Linked DNA regions of Caenorhabditis elegans. The protein of the gene in region 1 interacts with the protein of each later gene in a pairwise test. Each region holds a gene or a part of one and is shown in the gene's direction. Other genes may lie near its edges.

Region 1 (5,372 bases):
ACAAAAAAATCAAGTATAGGCTCCATCTCCATCTGAACGTTTTTCGTTTTCTAATAACATTTCATAACTTCGGAAAGCAATGTTCATACCCAGTCAGATATTTCATTGAGTGACCGTAGCAACGGAAGGTCTGGAAATTAATCTTGGCTCACACGTGAAGTGAAAAAAATATAAAAACTGTAAGGTTATGTTTTAAGAGTAGTCAATTTTTGTGGTGAATTTTCATCAACAATGGTTAATATTTTGCGTCGACTGACTAATAAGATTTTCAGGAGAATTACCAAGCCGCGATCAATGGTCAACCTGCTCGTCATCCACGCTGCGATCTTCCCAGTTGCGGACTCTTCAAATACACGCTTTCTCATTTGAACATGTGCACGAACGGATCGCATTGTCTCAGTATGTTCATTTATTTAATTTTCAAAAGGGACAACTTTTTTTCAATGAAGCATCATTAGACACTAAAGCGACCCCAAAACAGAGGAGGTTCAGTTTCCAGTTCGATTAAAAAACTCCAACAAAATGTAAAAACATACATTGTTTCCCACATACGACACGTCGTGAATGACAAAAAAACCACAAAAGCTATTAAGATTCTATTACCTATTTTTATAAGATTTCAATAATATACCCTACCCTTTTAACCTTACTTAAATTTCAGTTGATTACTGTAACACCTCGAAGCAACTCATCAAACACTGGCGTGAGTGCCAAAATCGTGCTTGTGCAATTTGTGCTCCACTAAGAAGACTTCAAACATTTGGTGGTAGCTAAAGGTAAAAGTAATGACATATGCCAAACTTCAATTTTGATTTGTCTCCCACCATGATCTTCTAATTGTTACTTATTGTTCTGTTTTGTTTTTTATGCATTTAGCGATTGATAAAATGTTCACAGATACTGCTGTTTCGTTTACCGGTCGATTTTGATGGATTTCTTGTTTATTATTTTCAGATTCAGAAAACCAGACGGTCAACTCTAATAGTTTCCTTTTCAAGCGTACAGGAGTTTGTAAACAACATGGCAAACAGAGATGTGCGACTGGCTGATTTTGTCGGCTGTCGGCTGTCGCCAACAGCCGACACCTAGCAATGTTTCGGCTGTCGACTGGCGCTGCCAGCCGACTGAGCTTTATGGTTAAGTTTTGTCGCTAAACTGTATTTTTGCACGTTGCTTTCTTGAAGTGTTTCGGAGCAATTAAGCATACTTTTAGTACAAAAACAAGGTATAGCAAACTTTTTAATCACTTTATCCAACAAAAATAACCACATCGGCTTACTTTTTTCATATATAAAACTTGCAACTAGTGTTCAAATATATCAAAAATCAGTTAATTTTTTTTTAAACCGCCAGCCGAAAACTCTAACTCAAAGGTCGGCTGGCTGCGCCAGCCAACATTAGATTATCAGTCGGCTGTCGGCTGGCGCTACCAGCCGAAAAATCCAATTTTTCGGCTGTCGGCTGGCTGCGCCAGCCGACAGCCGTACATCCCTGATGGCAAACAAACAAACAAACTCACCAACGGGACCTCCCTCCTTTTCTCCCTCCATCTTTACACCATCCGCCGAGAGAGCATGTGAATTTGGGAGGGCGGAAAAGAAAGCGGGGAGGAATAACAAGGTCCGCATGTTTACGTCAATTGTGTTGCACTGTATTGCATGGCGGGAAGAAAAAGGCGCGGTCTTTTTGCTAAACACTACATTAGCATAGACATTTTGTTTTCTTGTGTTTGAGTTGGCATTTTAGTTTCGCTTTCCAATTCAATTTCAATACTTTGATTTATTTAACCTTGATTAACCCTACGATTTCTTGTGAATTTTATGTATATGAAACGTTTCAAAATTAACTATTTTTGAAGGGTAAATTATTGCAACCACGTCTTTATCGGATCACAAGATTTGTATCAATATCTATGCTGTGATGACTACTGTTTCTAAGCCTGATGAGTCGTCTTTTGATGTTCGAACCTTGTCGATGAAAACCTGCGGCTCCCGTCTTTGTGTGGGATTTTGCTATTGCTCGGGAGTGGTGAAGTTCCGCAAGTCAGAGTCGGTGGGAACTGTGGACATTCCTTTCCCAAGTCTTGGAGCTTGTCCATCTTTAACTTTGTCAATGTCCCCAAACATGAACTTTTCTTCAAGAATGGCTTTGGCTCCCACATCGCCAATGAAGCGTTCAAAATCGGTAAGTTCAAGCACAATATTTGTAGTGCACGACTCTTGCAGTCTGTTTTTAGTCTAGTGTTATTTTTAATTCGTTTTTCAGGTACCGAATATTCTTTCTGGTGAATATCCGAATTCCGTTTGTGTCGTTGCCAATTCAATCGATGAAAACGGAGATGCAGGTGTAGACGTTACGGATTGTGCTTCTACAAAGCCACTGGTTCTTGGAAAAGACAATTATCAAGACAACTACTGGGATTCTCAAGAGACGAATCATCGTAATGCCGATATGAAGACTCCAAAGAAAAAAGTTGGAAAAATTTCGGTTCGCATTTAACTTTAACTATTTATAGCATTTATACTGTACTTTTTGCAGAAATTTGTCAACATCTGCGTTTCTGAATTGAAGAAATTCAAGAATCCGAACTCTGGTGTCACATCGATTGATGGTGTTGAAAGGTTGAAGAAGGAGGTTGGTTCCACAGCTATAACGTTTTACTTTGGTATATAAAATACATATTTTCAGATTGCTCCTCTTCCCTCTAGCCCACTCAAGCTCACATCTACATCTACAATCGAGTTTCAGTCAACTGTCACTTCTAGTTCACCAATAATGAGATCTCGTGAAACTACGTCAACTATTCAAAGATCGAAAATAATTTCTTCTACTACAAAGGTCATGTCAGACATGTTGATGGATAAAGAAGGAAAGGATTCAGAAATCTCTGAAAACAGTATCAACTGCTCTACAAACTTGGCTGTCAATAAGATGGGCGATGTGCCATCTCTTTCACAATTTGAGGATGCAGATGGACTCCAGAAGAAGTTGACTGAGCCAGTGGAACTGCCAGCCAAGAGCCAAGAGGTGTACCAATATGATGTTTCTGCCAGCCCAGCCAAAGAGGATCTGAAGTGGAGTACTCTGAAGAAAATTGATCTGATTGTCCCTTCGTTCAGATCAAAGAAACGAGGACTTGTCGCACATTTGAAGAGTTCCCCAATAAGTAAGATCAGTTATGATGGTTCGCCAAGCAAACAAGTTGGTGTGTTGGATGGTGAGATTACTGACGATGGGAGAATTGATTCTGGCCCGGCTAAAGCCATTATTCCAACATCGACTGAAAATATCATTATGCCAAAGGAATTGAATATTTCTGATATTGGAGAAAAAGCAGAAGTATCTCGTGGTTTGCGAAAGCGTCATTTGGAAGATAGTTCTACTCCTTCATCTCGAGGACCGTCTACTCCTGCAAAACTCATCACTGATGAAGATGCGACCAACAAAAAGAAGCGCGTTCTCGGTAAAAACATGGTGGATAACAAAGCCTCTTCTCCCAACAAAGAACACATCTTACCAATTGACCAGCTCAATAACAGTTCTGCGATGGGAATCAGCAGTGAGAACACTGCACCAATGGAGTTGAAAGCTACTGGAAATGACCCGGTCTCGGATGGAGGTGGATACAAGTTTCTTGTAACTGCCGAAACTGGACGGAAGTTCGATGAGTTCAGAGCTAAGCGACAAAGACTTCGTGAATCGTGGATGGAGAATAAATCTCCAACTTCGAACAAAAATGTTCAAACTACTGCTGTTACTAGTGGTTTCCAATCAAATGAGCAAGCTCCGGAAAACCTTCCTGCCACAATGGAATGTTTGAATAAGGAAGCTGCAACTACTCCAATGAATGACAATCGTGCTTTGTTGACAGAAGTTGGGCCAGAAGCTGCACTTGCTGAACCAAAACTGGGCAAGCCACTGTTGCCAGTTGAGAATGTGTTGCAGTATTCAAAGTCTCCATCAAAGACAGCTGTCACTAACAAGCCGACAAAAACCGTTCTCAAAGCAAATTTCAATGCTCCAATTGGAAAGATCAACTCGGACATCAGCTTTTTCACTCCAAAGGTGAGTAGTATTTTGATATGTTGTTTAATTGACAATTGTGATTTTTTCAGAAGGTGTTTGGGAAGAGCGAGTATCAATACGGACCATCAATGGGCAAACTGATTCAAATGATGGGTACTGGAACTCCAAAGAAGGTGTTGCCAGAGTTTGGATCGTCTTCAAAGACTGCATTATTCTCGCCACGAAAAGAAGAACATTGTGCTGGTGCTCCACGTGGTTCATGGAAGATTGCAAAAATGCGTGTACGCACCAAACTGTCCAACTTCTATCCATCAAGCCGCTCTAAAAATTCGCAGCAAATTCGCGGGAAATGGTTGGGACAGAATATTGTTCAGTTCTCGGGTCATCATTCCATGATTGCTCAGTCTGCAAACGACAAGCACGGAGCCAATTTGATGGAGGTTAATGTACACTGAACACATTTCAATTTACAACAAATCATTTCAGATTTCTGCTCAACCATCTACATCTACCACTGCCCAAAACATCTAGAACAAACAAACAAGAATCGATACAGTTTGAAAATGTTTTGAATCTGACTATTTATTTCGCTTTTTGACCCATATTCCCTTTCTATTAAAGTTTTTTTCCATAGTTGTAATCAAATACATTTGCTTTGGCATTAGTCAAAGTTTTTGTTTATTGTCTCCTAATATTCCCAATAAGTATTATCGTAATTACTTTTAATTCTAATTGGTTATAAGATTGTTTTATCATATCCGTTTTGTATAATTTGAATTCTATGCGAAGAATAAATTGAGTGCAGGTTTCGATTAAAAGTTCTCTAGACGTATCCCATGGTTGGTGATCTATATGGAGCTGCCGAAATCCTTGTAACAGGCCGTTCAATACCATCGGCAAGTAACAGGCATGATCTTGCCGAAAGGAACCCAATTTTGATGCCATAGTCGAAACGCATAATCGAGGAAATTTAATACATATTTTAAAAACAAATTCAACCATCCAAATAATTATTTACTGATTTAGTCAATACAATAGTTCCGTCAACAAGTTAAAACCTATTTAAAAACAATTTTATTAATAAAAAAAATTTAGTCCGACATTACTATGACATGAAGTAATGTACGCAGTTTCCGATTGTCAATCTTTCAATCTTACTTGTGAGTGTTCGTATTTCTTTACAAATTCCGTCATTCCATATTATAAACGGTTTAGATCCTGAAAATGTATATATTGGTATATTGACATATTGGCATGTTGTTAATTCAATTATCAGACATAATAAAGTTTGTTAATCTATCAAGTTTGATTTCGTCTACAGAAAACTTACTTGCAAATAAAACTCT
Region 2 (3,716 bases), on another chromosome or scaffold:
TTGAAGATTGACCTGGAAAATAAAACCATTACATTTTTTGTGGCGCGAAGAATGTATAACGGAGTAACTCAAAATCATTCGGCCGACTTCGAATTCTGATGGCAAAAATTAGGAACCCAACATTTATGATTTTTCGAGGATACACTGTTTTGCTACTGATTAATCGAATAATGAGAAAAACCAACGTGTTCTATTGAGAAGCGAGAGAAAAGTCATGCACAATCAAGGAGCGACTACAAGCACAAAGAAATTACAAAATAATAAATCACAATCACGACGTCTCAAAATTACCTCCTTTAGTTTTTGGGGCACTCATTTTTACGTGTTATTTTTCAAACTTTCAGCTTCTGAAAATTTTCAACTGTGCATAAATGATGGAGATTAGTTCAAAGTGAGTCAATCTGAATCGAATAACTGTTATTTGGAAGATTTAAAGTGATATTATATTGACGGACGAACAGTTGCGAAGTTATTTGGAAAGTCATACATACACAGTTGGTCGCGAGGTTTACAATGTAAATTTAACATTTGAAACATTTACTGCGTGATTAATCACCTCAAAAATTTGAACCCTTATTTATAAAACATTTTTCAGCTAATAATATAAATAAAATATTAGGGAAAATACGTAAAATTGAAAACCAGACTTTTCTTCTATCGCTGCAACGTGTCTGTCTGCAACTTGTCGTCAAATGTGTTGTTCAGTCCGTAAACACTCGTTGTCCACCGTATTTCTCATTGAATTTCCCTCCATTTATTAAATGAATGCGGCCACGGCCGGGCATGTGATTTCATAAGTTTAACTGTTTCTTTTGTGTACTTTATATTTATTAAGTATCCCCAAAACTTGGTATTTTCAAAATTATTCACTGCAAAGTGCAAATGTATTTCAAATTCACAGAACTTGTGAATAATTTAGAAGCTTTCTTGCATTCCCAATGACTGGGACCATGTTTCGAGCAGTTTTACGCCACCATTTATCAGAGTAGAATCAGGGCTCCCTGGAGACTTGATGTGAGAACAAAGAAGCTTTTTTATTTTTCTTGAAGTCTGCCCAGTTTTTTTCACAACAATTCAAATTCTGCAATTTGGTTGCATTTGCATGCATGCTTTCTAACAAATAATTGCAAATGCTTCATTTTACATTGTTTTGAATTTTGAAGTATTTCTGAAAAATTAATCCCATTACCGATCCGTTTCTCGCCAGTTCTCCAACTCAAGGACATATTTTTGCTTCCCTTTATATAATTACACCTTCATGTTACCTCCCGTCGCTTTGTTCAAAAATACCCACTGGTTGGCAAAAATATTTGAATTATTGATCGTTGTAAGATACTAGTCTGATACTTTTCGTTTTTCCGTTCTCTTTTAATATCTCCATCGAATTCAATGAACTAATGGATGAAGGCGGCAATTGAAATCATTCGTTGCAAGCCTGCCAGACCACACAGTGAAAAACGAAGAGAAGGAGGCTAGTAACAAGATAACGTATTACGTTTCCTCCGTCTCTTTGGTTTTCCAATCTTTCTCGTAGTATAGACTATTGAAAAGAAAAAGAGGAAGCTGAAGGGGAACATTTCTTTCCTGGAAAATTTGTTTGCACACTCTTCTTGTCTTTATTGACACTTTATGTGACTCACTGGTCACTTTTTCTCTACCTGTCCGGTTTCCAGAAAGGATTATATTATGTATCTTTTTAAACTCTGACCTCATGTATTTTATTTTAATTAAATTTAAATTTTCCCAGCAAGATTGCTCGTCGGCCAGAACATCATCGGCCACTTCTCACCCATCAGATGGCCAATCGACGACAGCCGGTGCAACACAGAGCACAGCAGAGGGTATATAGACAATCGGTTAGTTGAAAAAATTTAGAATTTTTTTTTCAAAAACAATTATCGAGTTTCAGCAAATTCGTTATGCCCCCGGCGCTGGTGGTGAATCGGAAATCAGTTGTTGTGTTAAATATTCGGTTTTCAGTTTCAATGTAATCTTCTTTTTGCTAGGTTTGTTTTTTCAAATATAATCTTAAAATGCTCAAAAATTTTCGAAACATTTATTTAAAAATTGATCTTCAGAAAAAAAATAATATGAAATTTCAGGATTTGGTCTGCTCTTGTTCGGAGTTTGGGCACAAATTGAGAAGAACACCTTTGTAAATATGCTGAGTAAAGCATCGAAACTGTATCTCGATCCGACGTGGCCACTTCTCATCGTTGGATTTCTCACATTTATCATTGGTTTCAGTGGATGTGTTGGATCACTACGAGAGAATACATCCTTCCTTACATTCTATTCAACACTTCTTGGCCTTTTGCTCATCGCCGAATTCTCAGCAGGAGTATTCGCATATGCTTGCAGAGATCAACTTGATAACTATATTAGAAATCTATTGAACGATGTGGTAGTTGGATATAGAGATGATCCGGATCTTCAGCTATTGATTGATTCTATGCAAGAGACGTGGATGTGTTGTGGAATCAACGGAGCCGACGATTGGGATAGAAACACCTATTTTTCAATAGAAGCCAGAGAAGTGGCCTCTCCAGAAGCTGGCGGAGTTCCATTTTCCTGTTGTATCAACAGTAGTAAACTGGAATTCAAGAACTACTTCTGCGGGCACGGTGTTCGTTTAAAACCAGAAAGCCACATGGCAGCACATCTTGCGGCTCAACGTGTGATGGCCCACACTGCATCGATTTATACGGAAGGATGTCTGCCGAAACTTCAACTTTGGCTTAATAATAACATGCTATTAGTAGCCGTTTCGATGGTTATTATTGCAATAATCCAGGTATTAAATTCGAATGAAAAATTGATTATTAGTATTTAATTTCAGGTTCTCGGTATCTGTTTCGCTCAAAATCTCAAATCGGACATACTCGCTCAACGGGCAAAATGGTATTATACCCATTAATCAATCAAATAATCAATTAATCAACGAAATATTCTCTACCTTCCAATGTATTCACTTCTACGCAGCTTTCTTTCGACTTACCACAGCCTATGCCGGTCACAAAAAATTCATCCACTTTGCAAAATATACGTTCGATTCTCTAAAAGAAACCATTTGGTTTGTCACAACTTCCTCAACTTTTGCCTTCTTTGTTTCTTTTTCCCAAAACCCCATGTTTTTACTGGTATTTTCAAACTTTGTGAGATTCCAATGAAATTTTCATATTTTATCCGTCCGGATCCGTTTCGAAGTTTTAAACATGTTTTCTGTTATTTGCAGTGGCTTTAAAAATATATATATACTCAAAAGTCCAAATGAAATCATAAATTTCAAATCTAAAACTAAAATTTCACAGAATGACGGAAGATGAAGAAATGCCACAGGAAAGTTCGAAGAGTTTCAAGCAAAAAGCTCTAGACTTTTTACTGGGAAGACAAACGGAAACGGAAGAATATGGAGAAATAACACAATCATTTATCAATTATGTACACTCGGAACGCCCGTATAAGTTAGCTGCATCATTATCTTTTGTTATTCTTGTATTTTTCATCGGTATGCCAATGTGGCATTTTACAACTTCAACATATCGTTCAAACTTTCCCACATTTCCATCAAATCAATCAATAACTGTACCAATTCGTGTTATTTTTGTGATAACATCGGAAGATCTGAGAAATGATGTTAAAACTCTAATGAATGAGTTGGAAGTAAATATGACGAAGAAAGAAGTGGTGGCTCCATTGGATTTTACATGGACAAC

The links. The genes of interacting proteins can lie anywhere in the genome.
Region 2: the proteins of C49F5.6 (region 1) and tsp-12 interact in a two-hybrid assay, tested with the Caenorhabditis elegans proteins (2 studies listed by BioGRID).

What each region holds. Positions count from the first base shown.
Region 1 is NC_003284.9:11,986,456-11,991,827, forward strand, and holds C49F5.6 (Dentin sialophosphoprotein-like), read left to right. Parts: upstream 1-1,858; 5' UTR 1,859-1,920; coding exon 1,921-2,184; intron 2,185-2,265; coding exon 2,266-2,487; intron 2,488-2,538; coding exon 2,539-2,634; intron 2,635-2,688; coding exon 2,689-4,065; intron 4,066-4,115; coding exon 4,116-4,466; intron 4,467-4,512; coding exon 4,513-4,557; 3' UTR 4,558-4,837; downstream 4,838-5,372. Other genes in the region: C49F5.5 (histone acetyltransferase), read left to right, coding at 273-399, 662-774.
Region 2 is NC_003282.8:10,148,634-10,152,349, reverse strand, and holds tsp-12 (Tetraspanin-12), read left to right. Parts: upstream 1-1,747; 5' UTR 1,748-1,796; coding exon 1,797-1,856; intron 1,857-1,909; coding exon 1,910-2,006; intron 2,007-2,102; coding exon 2,103-2,794; intron 2,795-2,839; coding exon 2,840-2,917; 3' UTR 2,918-3,184; downstream 3,185-3,716. Other genes in the region: copg-1 (Coatomer subunit gamma), read right to left, coding at 1-12, 292-316; pigs-1 (GPI transamidase component PIG-S), read left to right, coding at 3,313-3,716. UniProt on the Caenorhabditis elegans protein: Functions redundantly with tsp-14 isoform a to regulate body size, embryonic and vulva development. Functions redundantly with tsp-14 (isoforms a and b) to regulate cell fate specification in the postembryonic mesodermal M lineage and male development.